3 linked regions of the Drosophila melanogaster genome follow. The protein of the gene in region 3 interacts with the protein of the main gene of each other region in a pairwise test. Each region holds a gene or a part of one and is shown on either strand. Other genes may lie near its edges.

The links.
Region 1: the proteins of AdipoR (region 3) and Acp26Aa interact in a two-hybrid assay, tested with the Drosophila melanogaster proteins (one large-scale study listed by BioGRID).
Region 2: the proteins of AdipoR (region 3) and Debcl interact in a two-hybrid assay, tested with the Drosophila melanogaster proteins (one large-scale study listed by BioGRID).

What each region holds. Positions count from the first base shown.
Region 1 is NT_033779.5:5,892,321-5,895,681, forward strand, and holds Acp26Aa (accessory gland protein 26Aa), read right to left. Parts: upstream 1,577-3,361; 5' UTR 1,552-1,576; coding exon 1,518-1,551; intron 1,462-1,517; coding exon 701-1,461; 3' UTR 563-700; downstream 1-562. Other genes in the region: Acp26Ab (accessory gland protein 26Ab), read right to left, coding at 184-425, 487-517. UniProt on the Drosophila melanogaster protein: Male seminal protein which enhances ovulation in female Drosophila by stimulating the release of oocytes by the ovary following mating.
Region 2 is NT_033778.4:6,646,865-6,653,459, forward strand, and holds Debcl (death executioner Bcl-2), read left to right. Parts: upstream 1-1,789; 5' UTR 1,790-2,414; coding exon 2,415-2,714; intron 2,715-5,124; coding exon 5,125-5,268; intron 5,269-5,323; coding exon 5,324-5,782; 3' UTR 5,783-5,978; downstream 5,979-6,595. Other genes in the region: Opbp (Optix-binding protein), read left to right, coding at 6,451-6,457, 6,509-6,595.
Region 3 is NT_033777.3:22,543,108-22,549,684, reverse strand, and holds AdipoR (adiponectin receptor), read left to right. Parts: upstream 1-1,838; 5' UTR 1,839-2,026; intron 2,027-2,119; exon of another isoform or gene 2,120-2,301; intron 2,302-2,486; exon of another isoform or gene 2,487-2,561; 5' UTR 2,562-2,607; coding exon 2,608-2,973; intron 2,974-3,411; exon of another isoform or gene 3,412-3,598; intron 3,599-3,653; exon of another isoform or gene 3,654-3,689; coding exon of another isoform or gene 3,690-3,809; intron 3,810-3,901; coding exon 3,902-4,000; intron 4,001-4,214; coding exon 4,215-4,567; intron 4,568-4,625; coding exon 4,626-4,927; intron 4,928-4,990; coding exon 4,991-5,070; intron 5,071-5,127; coding exon 5,128-5,262; 3' UTR 5,263-5,992; downstream 5,993-6,577. UniProt on the Drosophila melanogaster protein: Adiponectin receptor. In insulin-producing cells, regulates insulin secretion and controls glucose and lipid metabolism.

The sequences.
Region 1 (3,361 bases), on a different chromosome or scaffold from region 3:
TATTTCAAAAGCTTCTTAGAGTCCATGTCCATTATAATATGGTAAATACTTTATTTGGGTTATTATATCTTTTAAATGATATATTACATATTGCATAGATACATAATATTTTGCTTGAAGTAACTGCGGTTAAAAAGCATATGCAATAATCGCTGTTTAAGATATTTGCTGGTGAATCCAAAATTATGCCATGTTCAGTTGCTGGCGCACACTCTCTATTTCATCAGGACTCATGACATCCGAGTTGAAGTCTGCTTTGTGAGTTTGTATCAAATGCCCAGTCGCATCGTTCACACTATCCTGAACACTGTAGTCGTATAGGGTTCTCAACATGCCATTCATCACTTTCTGGGATCTTGATTGTGAACTAGACTGAACGCTTATAAAGGGGGCAGCATCGCTAAATTGCCAAAGGCAAATGCAGGCTAAGTGATGAAAACTAAATTAGGCAAACTCTAAGAACCTCGAAGATCCTTACGAACTTACAGAAAATGCAGATCACCGCGAAGTAGTTCATTGTGGAAACGTATTCTCTAGACTGTAAAGAATCCAACCAGCACTTGGCCTAAGCGTTATGAATCGCATTTATTACGGCTAACAAGATCAGAAAAATAAGTAAGTGCGCAATTAGAAGGTCTTGCAATGACTCAATACTATTGTTTCTGTTCTTAAATGATGGGAAACCATATGATTTTAACTATTAAAGTGTTGGTAGATTCCCTTGGGAAGGATTTGTCTCCGTGGGTACATCGGTAGCGACTTTCGCGATTTCGTTATTGATCTTCTGACTAAGTTCTTTCAGAAGTGTTAGATATTTGTTACGGTAAGTGTTCCTGACGTTGGCTTCCTGAAACTGATTGGCGGCAGGTGGGGCGCTATCCTTACTAGAACGTTTCTTACACGGCTTTGTGGACTTTCGAGTGTTTTGCAGTTGCCCATTCAATTCCAAAAGTCTGCGGTTCACAGTATTTAGCTCGAGCTCTAAATCGAGGTTTAACTGTCGTACTTTGATAATATCCGTTTTTCTGGCCTCTATTTCTTTCATCAAGTATATGGAATGGTTCCGGAGAAGTAAACTATTGTTCTGCTCCGTTAGTAACCTCTGTTGCAGGGCCTTGAGCGCACTTTGATTGGATCCTTGATTTTTTTCTTTTGCCGGGAAATCATCTAGTCCTTTATTGAAAGGAATATTATTCAAGTCAATGGAAGAGCTTTTTAGTGATTTGGACCTATTGATTGGATAATCATCCAGCGGCAAATCAGAAATATCGATATCCATTATATAATCGCCCTTTTTCGCATCTTTCAGAGCTACATCATCTTTGGCTATTTTGGCCTGTGTCTCATCATTCTTGGGAGCAACATTTTTCAGAGATGCACTTTTCGTAGAATCACTTTTCAGGTGCATAGCTGAATCGAGTTGTTGCTCACTATCGCAGCTTGCCACTGTAAAAAGCAGCACTAAACGAAAAGATACTCGTTCTTAAATGTGCTCAAAAATGCATAAGTCAACTTACGTAAAATTGGAGAGCATAATAAAATCTGGTTCATTTCGAAGAAGTGGCTTCAGCTGAAGTAAGGTATTATTGCATTCCTTATATATACGAATTTCATGTTACATAAGCGCTTTTGCAACGGCTCTTGTTTCGTTCTGCTTGATATTTATAAATATGATCTTGTAGTATTGCAATTTTCAAAAAAAAAAAAAACATCATCAAAATATATAAATATTCGTTGAATATACATTTTAGTCCTGTAGTATTCTAGATATTAAGATATATACATTTTTCTGGCCTCCGGACGGATATCTTCGGTTTTTTTTATAAGATTCTTCTTGGCATCGGGTGCTTTAGTCGAGGCTAACAATTTTAAGACTTACGCAGTTCAAACAAATATACAAAGAAAAATGCCATAGTCGAGTATTTATTGAAATAATATATGTAAATATCAAATTCTTAGACAATCAATTTAACATGGTTTTCAACAATATAAAAGCGAGAAAAGTGTTGGTTTCTTTGAATTGCTGGTCGATTAAGGAAAATACCGTGTTAATTATACAAAATATGTTTTTACTATACCTTAAAATAGTTGCTATGTAGTTATAGATGCTGTACATAATTAATTACATAAAATCCGGCAATGTATATCTGAGATCATTGAAGTCACGATATATGTGTTACCGATGCAAACGCAATTCCCAAGCCAAATTAAAGAAAAATAAAAAAAAAGCAGATCATAAAAACGAACCATTGTCTTTAGCTAAAAGTGAAACTGCAATTGAAAAAACTTTCAGCATCCGCAGAGCGGCTAGAATGAGAAAAAATTATACTAAAATTTCGCCCACATGTCCACATATGTAAATTGAAAGGTTGCGCCTGCGCACGCGTCAAATTGAAAGCGAAATTGAACGTGGGATTCAGAAAACTGAGGCATGGCCATCTCGTGGGCGATCGGTCACTCTGTGAATCGTTTTGGATCCCCCATTTTGGGTAGGTGGCCACTGTTAATTGTTTAAAACATAGCGATTTATGCGCAAGTTGCTCGCATTTTGCGTGGTGTCTACGGAACGCTGCTTAAATGGCCGCTGCTTTCCACAAATGGTCAAAAGTCTTTATGCCTTGTAAATGCCTTGTAATCTTGGTCAAGAATGGTGTTATACGGACAGCAAACTGGAATTTACCTTAGAAGGAGAACGGAACCCAACATATTTTAGATAACTGCGCATTTAAAATTCAATTAAGTGGAAAAATTCATCAGCTAATCTTGATGAGAAATAAACTATTTAAAACTTAACCATACTATAATTTATATTCAAAAAGTAAATAGAACAAAGAAAATTTAACTAGTATGGCTTGAAATCTCAAATGCACATCTTACTATATGAAGTTATGATTATGTTTATTAACGTCGTTAGATGATTTTCATAGTAACTTTAAGATAGCCTTCTTTATTCCCAGTCACACCATTCGCATACAAATCTTATGTCTTATTTCTCATTTTGATTGCCGTATTATAATGACAGTGGCTCTGTGCATGCGACTCCCATTTGAAGCTCGCTTTCCACTGAAGTTTTCGGTTTCAATTTCCCATGGCAGCGCATCCCACTCGCAGCAGGCACACATATGTATTCATCACTACGATTTTCATCGCTTTTCAGCCCGAGTTCGAGCTGAGCTCACGCTTTCATTTGCGTTCGGAAAATGACCTACTTCCGGATTAGCATGCCCGGGCCACTTTTACTGTCGCTCGATCTGGAAAAGGGCGATGGATGGAGGGAATGGGATAGGGAATGGGAGCCATGGCATCGATGGGCACCGACCAGGGGCAGAAGCTAATGAGGTTGTCGCCGTTGTATCCACTT
Region 2 (6,595 bases), on a different chromosome or scaffold from region 3:
CCGAAACCAAAGTCCTCCACGGGTAATATCGCCTCCAAAAGGAGCGACCGATGCTTGCATCGCTGATCTCAGATCTTAGATCGAAGAATACGGACAATAATCGTTTAGAGATAAAAGATCCAAAATTTGCGAACATCACATTTATAAGTTTGTAGTTCGCTCCCCCACAGTCTTGATATTGGCGGCAAGATGTTCTCTCGAAAAGCTTATTCCAGAGCTTTTCGTTTCGATAAAAGTTGGACTGCAGATCTGAAAGAAAGTATAATATGTAAATATCTTGAGAAGTTAATAAAATGGGTGATAAAGTAATACGACATTGGTAATTATCAAAATAGTCGGTATTCGGATTTGGAACCGGCGGAACGATGCTTCTTAGATTGATCTGATTCAATAGTTCGGTTAGATTCATTTAAAAAATCTTACATAAGCTTAAAAAACGAGAACGACACCTTTATCGTCCTAGTCCGATACACTGCAAAAATTCGCGTATCAGCGTTATTTTTATCAAAAAAATTATCTTTTTGTTACGAACGCGTAAGCAATTCAAGGTGGGATTAATCCTAAATGTGGGGATAGTTCAGCAAACTAACATTATAAAGAATATTTAATTACACACGTTACTCATCATAAAAAAGGATAACTAACCGAGTCGGTCTGGCCATGTCAATCTGGCAAGCAGATTCTACACACGACTGTGGAAGATTGTTTGAGAACGTTGCTATGCAATCGCTAATGCACAAAACTGTTACAACTACATTTTTGAAACAAGTCGGTATTTTTTCCATTTTATTGAATTATTTAGTTTATTGATCCAACGAAACGAAAGTCCTCCTCGAGTAATATCACCTCCAAAAGGGGCGACCGATGCCTGCATCTCTTATCTGAGATCATAGATCGAAGCCTACGGACATTTATCGTTTAGTGATAAAATATTTAAGTTTTTGAACATCACATTTAGCAGTTTGGAGATCGCTCCCTTACAGTTTTGAAATTGGCGGCAATAGCTTTCTGGTTCCATAACAGTTTTAGATCCGAAAGTAAGTATAATATATCTTGAGAAGTTAATCAAATGGTTGTCAGAGTAATACATCGTTGGTGAAAAAAATTTGGTTTCCATTTTACAATTATATCAAAGCAATCGGTATTCGGTTTCGAGAGCGAAGCCGTTATTTCGAAACCGTTACCGCGAACCGGTTCCCAGCGAGCCGCGGCTCGCCAGTCGCGAAAACACAACGAATGCACAATCTAGAGGTGGAGAAATATTGATGTTGGCGGGCATCAAAGCTTCCAATGTTTTTGGCGAAAAACATCGATGTTTAAAATAAAAACAACAAAATTTACCTGCTTAATTTAATGATTATTTTTTAATATTGCTTAAATAAAAAGGCAGTACTTTAAGAAAAGAAAAACAAACTTATTGTCGTCTCCGTTTTCATCAGCCGCTGGTCCAATAGTTGCTCCTATAAAACAAATTAATACAATTAAATGGAAAAGTAAACCAGTATGCATACGAGCAACTGCAAGTGCACAAATCGGGAGTTCAAAACTAACATTTCAGATATTAATCCATGTGCTATGTTATGCTTTTAATAATTGCATTAGAAAATATGGAAAATTAATTTGTACTTACAATTCATACACTTTTCTTCTCCGATGCGCAGTAGAGATGGAAAAACATCGATGTTTTCTCGAAAAACATCGATGTTTATGATTTTTCAAAAACATCGATGTTTCTCCACCTCTACAACGAACGCACAATCACAAGCGCCGCTCGCGAGAACGAGAACGGGAACTCGAAAGAACCTAGATCGCTGATCGGAGAACCGTGGAACCCGTGGAACCGTAACCGTGAAAGTGGGGAATCGAAGATAGAACGGAGAGGGTGGTAGGCCGATTCCCTCTCCCCACTGCCCGTTGAAATTCAGAATACTAAGCTCTCGGTTAAACGCGGCGAAAAAGAAAGCAAGCTCTGAGCGGCTGAAAAAAAAATGAAGTGAAATAAAACTGGGATCGCGGCACCAGCAACAAGTTTTAGTGGCTCTTCTTTGTGCGTTTCGTTCGTGTTTGCTGCCCTGCGCTTTGCTCGCCACATTCGTCGCCGACTTTTATTTTGTTTTGCCCATTTTATCAGAATCGGAGCACCTCCAAAAAAGCCCAAGACGAGCTGAGCCTCAGCTGCGTCGAGGTGAGCTGATCCACTCCGCTCCCCTTTCGTGCGCTGCCCACCGCTCCCCACCGCTCACACCCGATCCCATCCAATCCAATCCGATCCGCTCCGCTCCGAGTGCATAGTGCATGCAAAGTCGCGGGGCTGGGCTTTCGGAATTACACAACCCACATGGGGCAGCGCCAACAAAGGCCTCAGCAGCAACAATAGCGGGCAGCCAAGCATTGCCCTGCCCTCGACTTCGACCATGGCTCCCACCACCAGTCCGCCACCCAAGCTGGCCAAGTTCAAGTCCTCGTCGCTGGACCACGAGATCTACACGGCCAATCGCCGCGGCACCATTGCCACGGCCTCCAGCGACTGGAAGGCGCTCCGCGGAGGCGTCGGTGGAGGAGCAGGAGGACCCGGTAGCGTACCCAATCCCTCTAACGGACGCTCCCTTCACGCCGGCGGACCCATGACACGGGCCGCCTCCACATCCTCGCTGGCTAGCAGTACGCGCACGATGACTAACTACCAGGAGTACAAAATGGATATCATCAACCAGGTGAGGACCAGAAATGGGTGACCAGTGGCTCCGTCCTTTGCTATGGACAATTTGGGAATTATTTAGTTGAAGTCTTGAGAGTATGCTGGGACTGTTGCCTTATAAAGTAAGCGTCTGATTCAGCATATGTTCAAAAAAATTTACGAGTGTTACTCAGCCAATGGAATTGCAAGGAAGTTAAATAGGGAGATATTCACCAGCAAAGTGAGTGTTTCAGCAAGGAACTATTGAATGCCTTGGATTAGCTTTAATCTTTTGCAGAATTCTAGAATTCCGATGGGTATTCTTAAATATAAGACCAATTCGTACACATAGAGGCAGCTATGTATGTATGTATGTGGTCCAGACCAAGCAGATGTCTTCCTTATAGGCCAGAATTCTCTAAAATTATACAATTACAGTCATTTCGGTTGGAAAATTAGAAAAACTAAGCCAAGATAATACAAATTAAATTTGCAAGTGGTTTTAAAAGCATTATGAACTTTAGCGGTCAAGGCTTTGTTACAAATAATTTATATTCTTTTGACAAGTTTTCAGGGCTCATATGCATTGTTTTAATGTTGAAATTTACAATAGATACTTCTTCGATAAATAAGACTTCTTATAGTTCATAGCAATGCGCCTGGTGATATAAAAGTTTAATCAACACAAATACTTAAATTTCTTAAGAGGTTGAGGACATGTGCTTTACTTTAAGGTGTAATTATTTTAAACATGACTCGGTTTCAACCCACATTTAAATATATAGTTTTGCGTTAAAATAGTTAAAAACCTTGATAATAGTTATATATATTAGTTGTTATAGTTATTCTATTCCAGCCTTATGTTGCCACTCAATGTTTTTTTTTTAAATTATTTTAAGTAATATCTAACGTTATCAACATAGAATGAGTCAGAAAATAAACTGGTCATGCATCGGAACATGTGCACATAATTAAAACCGATTTTTGAGACATACATATAAATACAACAGTTTGGTGATTAAATATTCAGCAAGTACGCAAAATGAGAAACACAACACAAAACTAAAAGAAAAAGCTGTTCAAACAAATTGCCTAATTTCGTGGACAAATTTCGAAATTGCCAAAATGAAACGGAACAGACAACTGCAAACAGATTCCAATTTAATGTGCAGAACTGTTTGCGGTATCAACTAATTTTCGATGGCTCTGATCGAGGACGATCCATCCGAATCTCTGCTATCCACCATTTGGGTCTTGACTGTCTCAACTTAATTGATAAGGCAAATATTTTTGTTTCCACCATTCGTTTATCTGAGACTGATAAAACTATTTACTCCGCTCCTCCAGGTGAGCGACATGTAAAGTGTTTATTAAATATATTTGCCTATGTGGTTGCTTTCGCCGGGCTGATAACTTCTTGAGGAATTTATCATTAAGCGCATTGCGGAAGTTTTCTCAGAATGCAGTCCTCTAAAGTAAACGCCATTTTCTCTGACAAATCAGATGGAATGGGCCATAACCAGGCTGCATAGAGGTTTTCAAGGAAAATAATAGCAACTAAAGAAAAGGGAAGAACCGCGAAAGCGCCACGGGTGGAACCATTATAAACAAGTATTCCAAAAATAAACCGACCACTAACTATACAACCCGAAAGCCTCAGGTGATGAATTCATCGAACTCTGGCCATTCAAGTAAATCTTATGGTATTTGGTCGCACCAAACCCGCCAAAAGGAAAGAGTTGGGCGCACAAGTGTTCGCCATAACAAGATCACGTAAACAAATTGACGGATTTATTAATATTTCGCTGGGAGGCTGGACGGGTTCGGAGTAGCTTCGATAGACTTTTCAAGACACTAGCTTCAAGGCCGGTGATTTGGCATGGGCTTGATTTCTTTGGCTGGCCATGTCATAAGTCAAGTTGGCTCCAAAGTGAGTAATTGTCTGTTTACTTGGCTGCGGAATCGTTGGCGTGACGAACGGTAATTGTGCGACATAAATTGTCGAAGGAAACTTGCAACTAAATGGGTCGGAATTGAACGCAACATGGTGGGGAATGCCTTAATTACGCCAAACGTTTCGCGTCTTTCAGATTCCATAAGTAAATTTTTAGTTGTCTTAATGCCTTTCCACAGCACGTGCTGATCGCTTCTTTTGTTTAAGTCGTTGTTCAAAGTTTATTACCGCCATGTGCACCTGCCATCAGTTTGGCTGCATGTTTAGATACTCTGTAAGAGGTGTGATTGAAATAGCCCAGGTGTCTACGGAATCCTGTAAACGGATTCAGAGCGACGTAAATAGAACATATGCATGTTCGCCGGAAAACTCGAGGCAGTCGATTGATATTGTTTAAGTGGCCCGCTGATGGAGCGAAATTGCCTGGCAATGATCAAAGCACTGTAGTTAATTTGATTGTGATTGAACTTTTGGCTTTGTCGTTCTATTCCAGGGGAAATGTCTGTGTGGTCAGTACATCAGAGCGCGGCTGCGACGGGCAGGAGTCCTCAACCGGAAGGTGACACAGCGTTTGCGCAACATCCTGGACCCCGGCTCCTCGCACGTGGTCTATGAAGTTTTCCCGGCACTGAACAGCGTGAGTGTACTGCCATTCGCCATTGAATCTTTTCATAACATGGTATAATCCACAGATGGGCGAGGAACTGGAGCGGATGCACCCGCGGGTGTACACAAACATATCGCGACAGCTGTCGAGGGCCCCGTTTGGCGAGCTGGAGGACAGCGACATGGCGCCCATGTTGCTCAACCTAGTTGCCAAGGATCTTTTTCGCTCCAGCATCACCTGGGGCAAGATAATCTCGATATTTGCCGTATGCGGCGGCTTTGCCATAGACTGCGTGCGCCAGGGACATTTCGACTACCTACAGTGCCTGATTGACGGTCTGGCTGAGATCATAGAGGACGACCTGGTCTACTGGCTGATCGACAACGGCGGATGGTTGGGCCTGTCGCGGCACATCCGACCCCGGGTCGGCGAATTTACGTTCTTGGGATGGTTGACGCTGTTCGTGACTATCTCTGCAGGCGCATATATGGTCTCAAACGTGTGTCGGCGCATTGGAGGTCAACTGTATTCGCTGCTGTTCTAGATTCGCTTGGGATCGCGTCGTTAAGAAATACAATCGTACCATTTAGTCAATGAGAGCTTCAAATCATTCCTGCTTCCATGGGCACCAGTCGTTTAGTAGTATGTAACGGACCCTGTTTTACGTATAATATTGTTATTCCCTTTCTCCTCTTTTTGTACATACAAGGCTATTCTAGGCGCAATAAAGCGTGTGTTGTAAACTTTTTTTTCGAATTTGGCGCGAAGTCTGGGTGTTATGCACGGAACTGCATTACTTTATGTCCGTGTTTAGCAACACTGGAAACGCCGTGGAGGTGCCAATATTTTGAGTACGACAATTCGTCTTTAAAATGTTATAGTGCCCAATCTTTGACTGTTGAACAGTGTATCTGTTACCAGAAATTAAAGACGAATCGACTAACATAATCTCTCAGTTAAACAAAAAATATAAAAGTTAACTTTGCTGACAAAAGTTTTTATAATTTTGTAATTACTGGTTCAATGTTCTAGTCTTTAAAATAAATGTTATTAACATTTTAAATTTTGATTGTTAGCCTTGCCACCCAGCTAAAACGCAAATACTTACCCAGCCCTGTGGCAACGCTTCGATTTCCAAAAACCATTTGTTATTATTGCTGTGGATCTGCCCATTATTATTTGTTGTAAATAAAGATTGGAGCAAATTATGCCATGTCATGTAAGTGCACTGATTCCGTGGGTATGAACGTCGAGTAACATGCACTTGCAGCGTCCAACCAGGCCGAGGAGACTACCCCGAACCTCCACGTGGAGGATGGAGACTTATCCGGAGGCGCCTTGCAGCAGGAATTCCTCT
Region 3 (6,577 bases):
AAGTTCCTGACACCACTTTTCTTTCTGTGTGCCCATTTAAAAAAACATTTTTCTAAAAACATCTCTATAAAGAAATGCTTAAAAAATTATCTACATTTTTATAATAAAAATAGTTCCATTAGACCCTTTAAAAATAACCAAAATAATAACATTTTATATATAAGTTCCTGACACCACTTTTCTTTCTGTGTGCCAATTTCCAGCTACAAAATTGGCTTTAAATAAACCGCTAGACAATTGATTTATTATCGCCGTCACGTCATTGAGACGAACTCAATTGGCAGCATAGTTATAAGTGCTTATATATATATATATATATGTGCCAATGTGGGGGATGACACGCCCCAACTCCATAACCTGGCACTTAATTTAACTACGCAAATAGGGTTTACGGGCGCAGTTAACACATTTCCAGATCGATGGGAAGCGATTGTCCGTCCAATGAATGGGTCAATTTCACGCACTTACTCTCACCAGTCTCCCAGATTCCCAGGTGATTTGTGTGACCCATGGTGATCCATGTACTCCACCCACGTGCTAAGTGCCCGGTCAAATATGCAAATGTTTGCCGAGTTGGATGCACTGCAGCTGTGTTGGTCGCCACCCTTCCGGGTCTTTGGCATTTCCATTTCCATTTGAAGCACATTGGCCGTTTAGCATTTTTTGTCGCGCGCTCGTCATTCAAACAGAAACAGCTCGCATTATCGGCGCTTCTCTTTTGTGATTATGACCCTGAACTTCAGCGCTACTAAATGTATTAATTCAGTCGATTAATACCGCTAGTCGGGGTCTGTGCGAAATCTGCTCCTTGGCCGAGTTTCTAACGTAGCTGGTCAGAACGCCGAGAGCTGATGGATGATATTGGCCTGGATTGGTCAATAGGGTATATCATCTTGATGGGCTGCCCCTGAGCAAAGCAAGTTCTATAGTCTTATGTTTGAAATTGAATTTGTTTAACAAAGATGAATGACTCTTGACTAAACATATTGGCCTTTATGTGCAATAAATATTCTAAGGGCGCTATTAAAACGTAGTTAAATTGCGCTATTAAGAGCTTGCCAAACAAGTGAATCTTTATTGGGCCTGCAAGGCTGGTGATATTTCCTCACTAGCCAAACACCATTTTGTCTTCCCAATTAAGTTTCTTTATTATTAGAATTGTTATTTGCCTACATTTGTGGGTTTTTATAACACCGTAATGCTATTTCTAAAAAAGCTATAATTAGACATTCTTGTATTACTTTAATTAATTAATTTAAATATATATATTTTAAGTAAGCTGTGATGTTGTCTTTGTTGTCTTTGCAAAAGTGTCCAAGGAATGGCAGATATGTGCATACTTAAGTAGGTTAAATATCGGGGAACTACACATGCTAATTCATAACTACCAGGCTTAAGTTGAGTTCATTGTTGATGTTTTTTAATGAGATGCCTTAACATTTTTTGAAAACAATTTCTCTGTTACTGAAGTGTTTACAGACTAGAGGAAAATTTTCTATTCATATAATATACGTCTTGTAATTTCGTCACGGTAATTTCTCATGAAAAAAAAAACAAATGCCTGTTAGGTATTTACGCAAATATCCAATATTTGGTCAGTTGAAGTACCACCTTTGATCGCCAATAAAAAGTTGTTAGCTCTCAAAAATGTTGACTAATAATGAAAGCACCTTGTTTACCGGGAGCAATACGATTTGCTGGCAAGCATTTTCAAATATGGCGGGCGCTGCGCAGAGTTGCCACATTGTTTTACAGAGCTGTGACTACAAAGTAGCGTTAACAGCCGTTAACAGCTGCTGCGTCAAGGTATGACCGCATTTCCTCCGTTCCCATATGATTGCTAGTGATTTTCCCTATCGCGCTTGCAGTCACACTGGAAAAAACACAGAAAAAATTAAATTAAGGGAAAACAGATGAAAAACTGCAATTGCACGCAATTGAAGCAAGTGCAGCAAATAGTTTTTCGCGCCAGTGTTGACTCCTGGGCCTGCCGTCGAAGCCACGCCAACTGCGCGACTTTCGAGTGGTAAGTGAATAGTAACGAAACGCCAGTGAAATCGAGTGATTAATCGTTCGTTTGTGTTGTGACACTTTCTGTAACTTCGTATAAAAAAAATGGGAACTGCGCAAGTGGAGTGCAGGTGGGGGTTAAGCCAGTTGGTAGTATTCCACTCACACGTGGCCTTCTGGCTGCATTTTCCATGCACTTTGCTATCTATATAATGGTTTCCCCGAAATAGCAACTGCACCTTAACCCACTGAGGATCCCACTCGCATTTGAACACCATCTTATGTAAAAACGTAATTGGCAGCTAAGTTTCCTAAGTGATAAAACACACAAAGCTACCAGATACAGACTTATGTGCTACGTACAACCGATTTACTGGGGAACAAAGGTCGCGCCATACTATATAGCAATGCGATCGGAGCAGACCAATAAACAAATAAACAAATATCGCATTTCCCAGACGAGCTAGCGTTGAGCTAACAAACGCTTAGCATTGCTTTCGAACAACTAAATTCGTATGTATCGTATTGAACAGAACGTATTTCTCTTACAGAATACTATTTGCGGAGTGCAAAACGAATCCGCGGGATCGTAAGACCATGGATTCGGCCACTAATCTCCTCGAGCAACAGGGCTCAGCGGCTGATGTGAGTGGCGGGAGCCATCCCGCCGAGGTGGAGGTAACCACCCAGGCTCGAGCCACTTTCGGCATGGACGCCGAAGGACATGCTACCGGCGAGGCGGTGACCACCACCACGGCCACCTTGCGTAGAGAAGGTTCAGACGAGGATATCTTTGAGCAGGTGCAGATGATCCTGCGCAAGCGACGTGGCTGGGGACCGGAGGACTCGCTTAGCCCCAATGATCTGGACATTCTGGAGTACGACGATGAGTTGGTCGAGGAGGATGACGCCGGTTGTCCACTCCCCTCGACCCCGGAGGACACACAGCTTATTGAGGCGGAGGTGAGTTGGGGCTATTAACCTTTATTTCCATTTTCCACCAGGTGGAAAAGTACGAAATGCAATCGTCAAAACATGTGGCGGAGCTCTTATCGCTGACCTACCACCATGTGGTTATCGGCTGCCACTTGTTAGTCGCAATTTTCCCTCTGCGCAGGCAGTCATTTCAATGTCGGGCGTCTTATCAATCGAAATGTTGCATTGGCCAATGTCTATTTGCCACATGCAAAATGTACCATAACCATTGTACTTAAACCTTATCGTGGCCATTTCTCCATTTTTATGACTCACTAAATACAATTGCTCAATTTAAAGCATATTCCATAGCCATTTGAAAGTTATACCTCTTATCTCTCCTTGCCTTTAATGTCTGTCCGAAAGGTGTCAAGTAAAATTTCTTGACTTTGAGCCTTATACTCTAGACAATCTGCCCGTTTGATCACCGGCTTTAAAGGTCAGGCTTAGATTGAACGCAAAAAGCTTTGGCATAGCCCTTTATACGACAGATGCTGGAAAAAAATCACAAATTTACGTCGATGCGGTGCTGATAATGCCCGGAGTCAGTTTCGGGCAAGCTTATCTTATCGCGGAACGCATTCGGTGCTTTCTTGTTCCGCCAACAAATTGAGTATGCGACTGGCAGAGGCTTCACAGTACAATCGCTCATTGCCTCGCACATTTAGTTCTAGTTCCGTTCGAATCTCTGTTAGCCGCTCAAGATGCAGACCCAGCCGGAGGTTATAGTGCGTGTCAACCCGGATCTGGAGCCGGATCTCAGTCAAGAAACTTACAGAACCCAAAACCCTGACACAGTCAAGGAGCAAGCTGAAAATGCAGTCGTTAGTCCCATTTGCTCTTAGTTTTTCTTTGTTATTAAGCTTTTTATATTTGTTTTGAGAGCTGTTTAATGTCTTATCACTCTATTCCACAGATGACGGAAGTGCTGAAGGCCGGAGTTCTCTCCGATGAAATTGATTTGGGCGCATTGGCACACAATGCCGCCGAGCAGGCAGAGGAGTTTGTGCGCAAGGTAAGCCAAGTGATGCTGCCAAGTGAAGAATGGCTTAAATGGAAGATACTCTTCAAGATTTGTAATATTGTAGCTTTTGTATTTTTGTTTTTATTTCAATAAATAGTATTAAGTGTTGGGACTGTATTTTTTGTTGTTGTTGTTTGTTTATAGTTACCAAACGTAATGTCTTATCTATAGAATGATATGTTATTTTTTTCCATTTCATCCGTAGGTCTGGGAGGCTAGCTGGAAAGTGTGCCACTACAAAAATCTACCCAAGTGGCTGCAGGATAACGACTTCCTACACCGCGGCCATCGCCCACCGCTCCCCTCTTTCCGTGCGTGCTTTAAATCAATTTTCCGCGTGCACACGGAAACGGGCAACATCTGGACACATCTTCTTGGCTGCATCGCCTTCATCGGCGTGGCATTATACTTCATCTCGCGTCCCTCGGTTGAGATCCAGACACAGGAGAAGATCGTTTTTGGCGCCTTCTTTATCGGTGCGATTGTGTGCCTAGGATTCTCATTCGCTTTTCACACACTGAGCTGTCATTCTGTAGAGATGGGAAGACTGTTTTCTAAGTAAGTATTCCTCGACTAATTAAATGGATATTATGTTAATTGTTTTGTTTACCAACAGACTTGACTACTGTGGAATTGCGCTGCTGATCATGGGTTCCTTTGTGCCTTGGCTGTACTATGGCTTCTACTGTCATTACCAGCCAAAGGTGATATACCTATCCGTTGTTAGCATTCTGGGCATCCTCTCCATCGTGGTCTCGCTATGGGACAAGTTTTCGGAGCCGGCACTTCGTCCCTTGCGCGCTGGCGTATTTATGAGCTTTGGCCTGTCGGGTGTGATTCCAGCTATTCACTACAGCATCATGGAGGGCTGGTTCAGCCAGATGAGCCGCGCCAGTCTGGGATGGCTAATTCTGATGGGTGAGTGCTTGTAGATATGCATATTAAAATAATGGTAAAACAATGGCAAAATACATCTTGCAGGCCTCCTCTACATTCTGGGCGCACTGCTGTACGCCCTCCGTGTTCCCGAACGCTGGTTCCCTGGAAAGTTTGACATTTGGGTACGATTCTTGATGGTTTTGTCCTTTGCACCGTTCTAACAGTCTTTTATTTTGCAGGGTCAATCACATCAAATATTCCACATACTGGTCATTGCGGCCGCTTTTGTCCACTACCATGGCATCTCTGAAATGGCCATGTACCGCGTCATGTATAGCGAATGCACTGTTCCCATCGAACCAATAACCTTTTAGATGCTGAAGTGGATGCCAAGAAACAATCATCGTAAAAGCACATACAATCCCATTCATAGTACGAGTAAAACATATATTAATGCGAACTAGCGCAGTTTTACAATGCAACCTTTTTAGCGTTTGGGGAGCATTTGTACCTTGTTATACAAAATCAACGGAACCATATAGAAGACAAAAACACACACTTAACACACAATTACACGCATTTATCATCAAAATCTTGCATAGAAAAAAAAAAATTGCAAAACCAGTTGATTGTCGAATGAAATCTGCAGTAGAGAAATTAATATATGTACAATTATTTATAAAATTCCAATTTGTCTACTTAATGTTGTCGTAAGTTGATTTACATTTCGAGTAGTGCAGAATTGCTTGCATCTGAAATTGGCAAAACGAGATGACTTCCGCTCAAGGGTTCCATTGCTAAAACAGGATCTAAAGGAGCTACCATGTCAGCCAAGCAATTACTTTAAGTTATGCAATTAGATGATCCCCTTGTGGCATTAGTATTTACCTTACCGCTTAGAGTTGTTAGGGTTGTATGGAGTAATGAACATACGTTTCATCGTTAAATGAGGTCTGATTTTATATTCACACATATACACAGCACATCACAAATTCCGCATCCCTGCACCCACACGGCAGAGCATCGCGCATGGAGCCTAAGATATTATATCACCATATACATTATAAATGCAGATCTATCACAAAACATAAAGCGAATCAAAACAATAAAAAAAAAAGCTGAGACTTCTAAAAGAGCGTTTTGGTGAAGATTGCTATATTAAGCCATATATAATTTTATTTCTTGGCGCAAAAACTATTTTAAGGTTTGCTGATTGCCATTGAGCAATTCGGCGGTTGCCATCACCCTAATGCCTGGCCATAAATATCGCTGCAGAGAACTAGAAATTCGCATCGGGGTTATTAGTGGAGTTCAGTCTGCTGATGACTGGGCGAATGCCGAGTTGACTTTGACCCCCTTGATGAAGTGAGCAGCCGTGGTCTAGTCGCCGAGATCTCGGATCGCGATCTGATTCCTCTGCTGCCTTGTGTTCTATGCGTCGTCATTGTCTTCGCCGTGTGCCAGTTTCTATCGACAAATCCGCAGATCGTTAAACCTTTTATTTTGCACGGCGCAAATAAATCGAACTTTGTACTTGACAACTTGTCGGCACGTGTCTTTCAACTAAATGCGATTGCAGGGGTTTTATTTTACAAACAAAAATTCAAGTTCAGCAGAAAAAAAAGCAAATGACTTGGTCGAAATAAGGCGAAAATCAGTTCGGAAGTTGGGCAAAGTGGGAGAAAACCA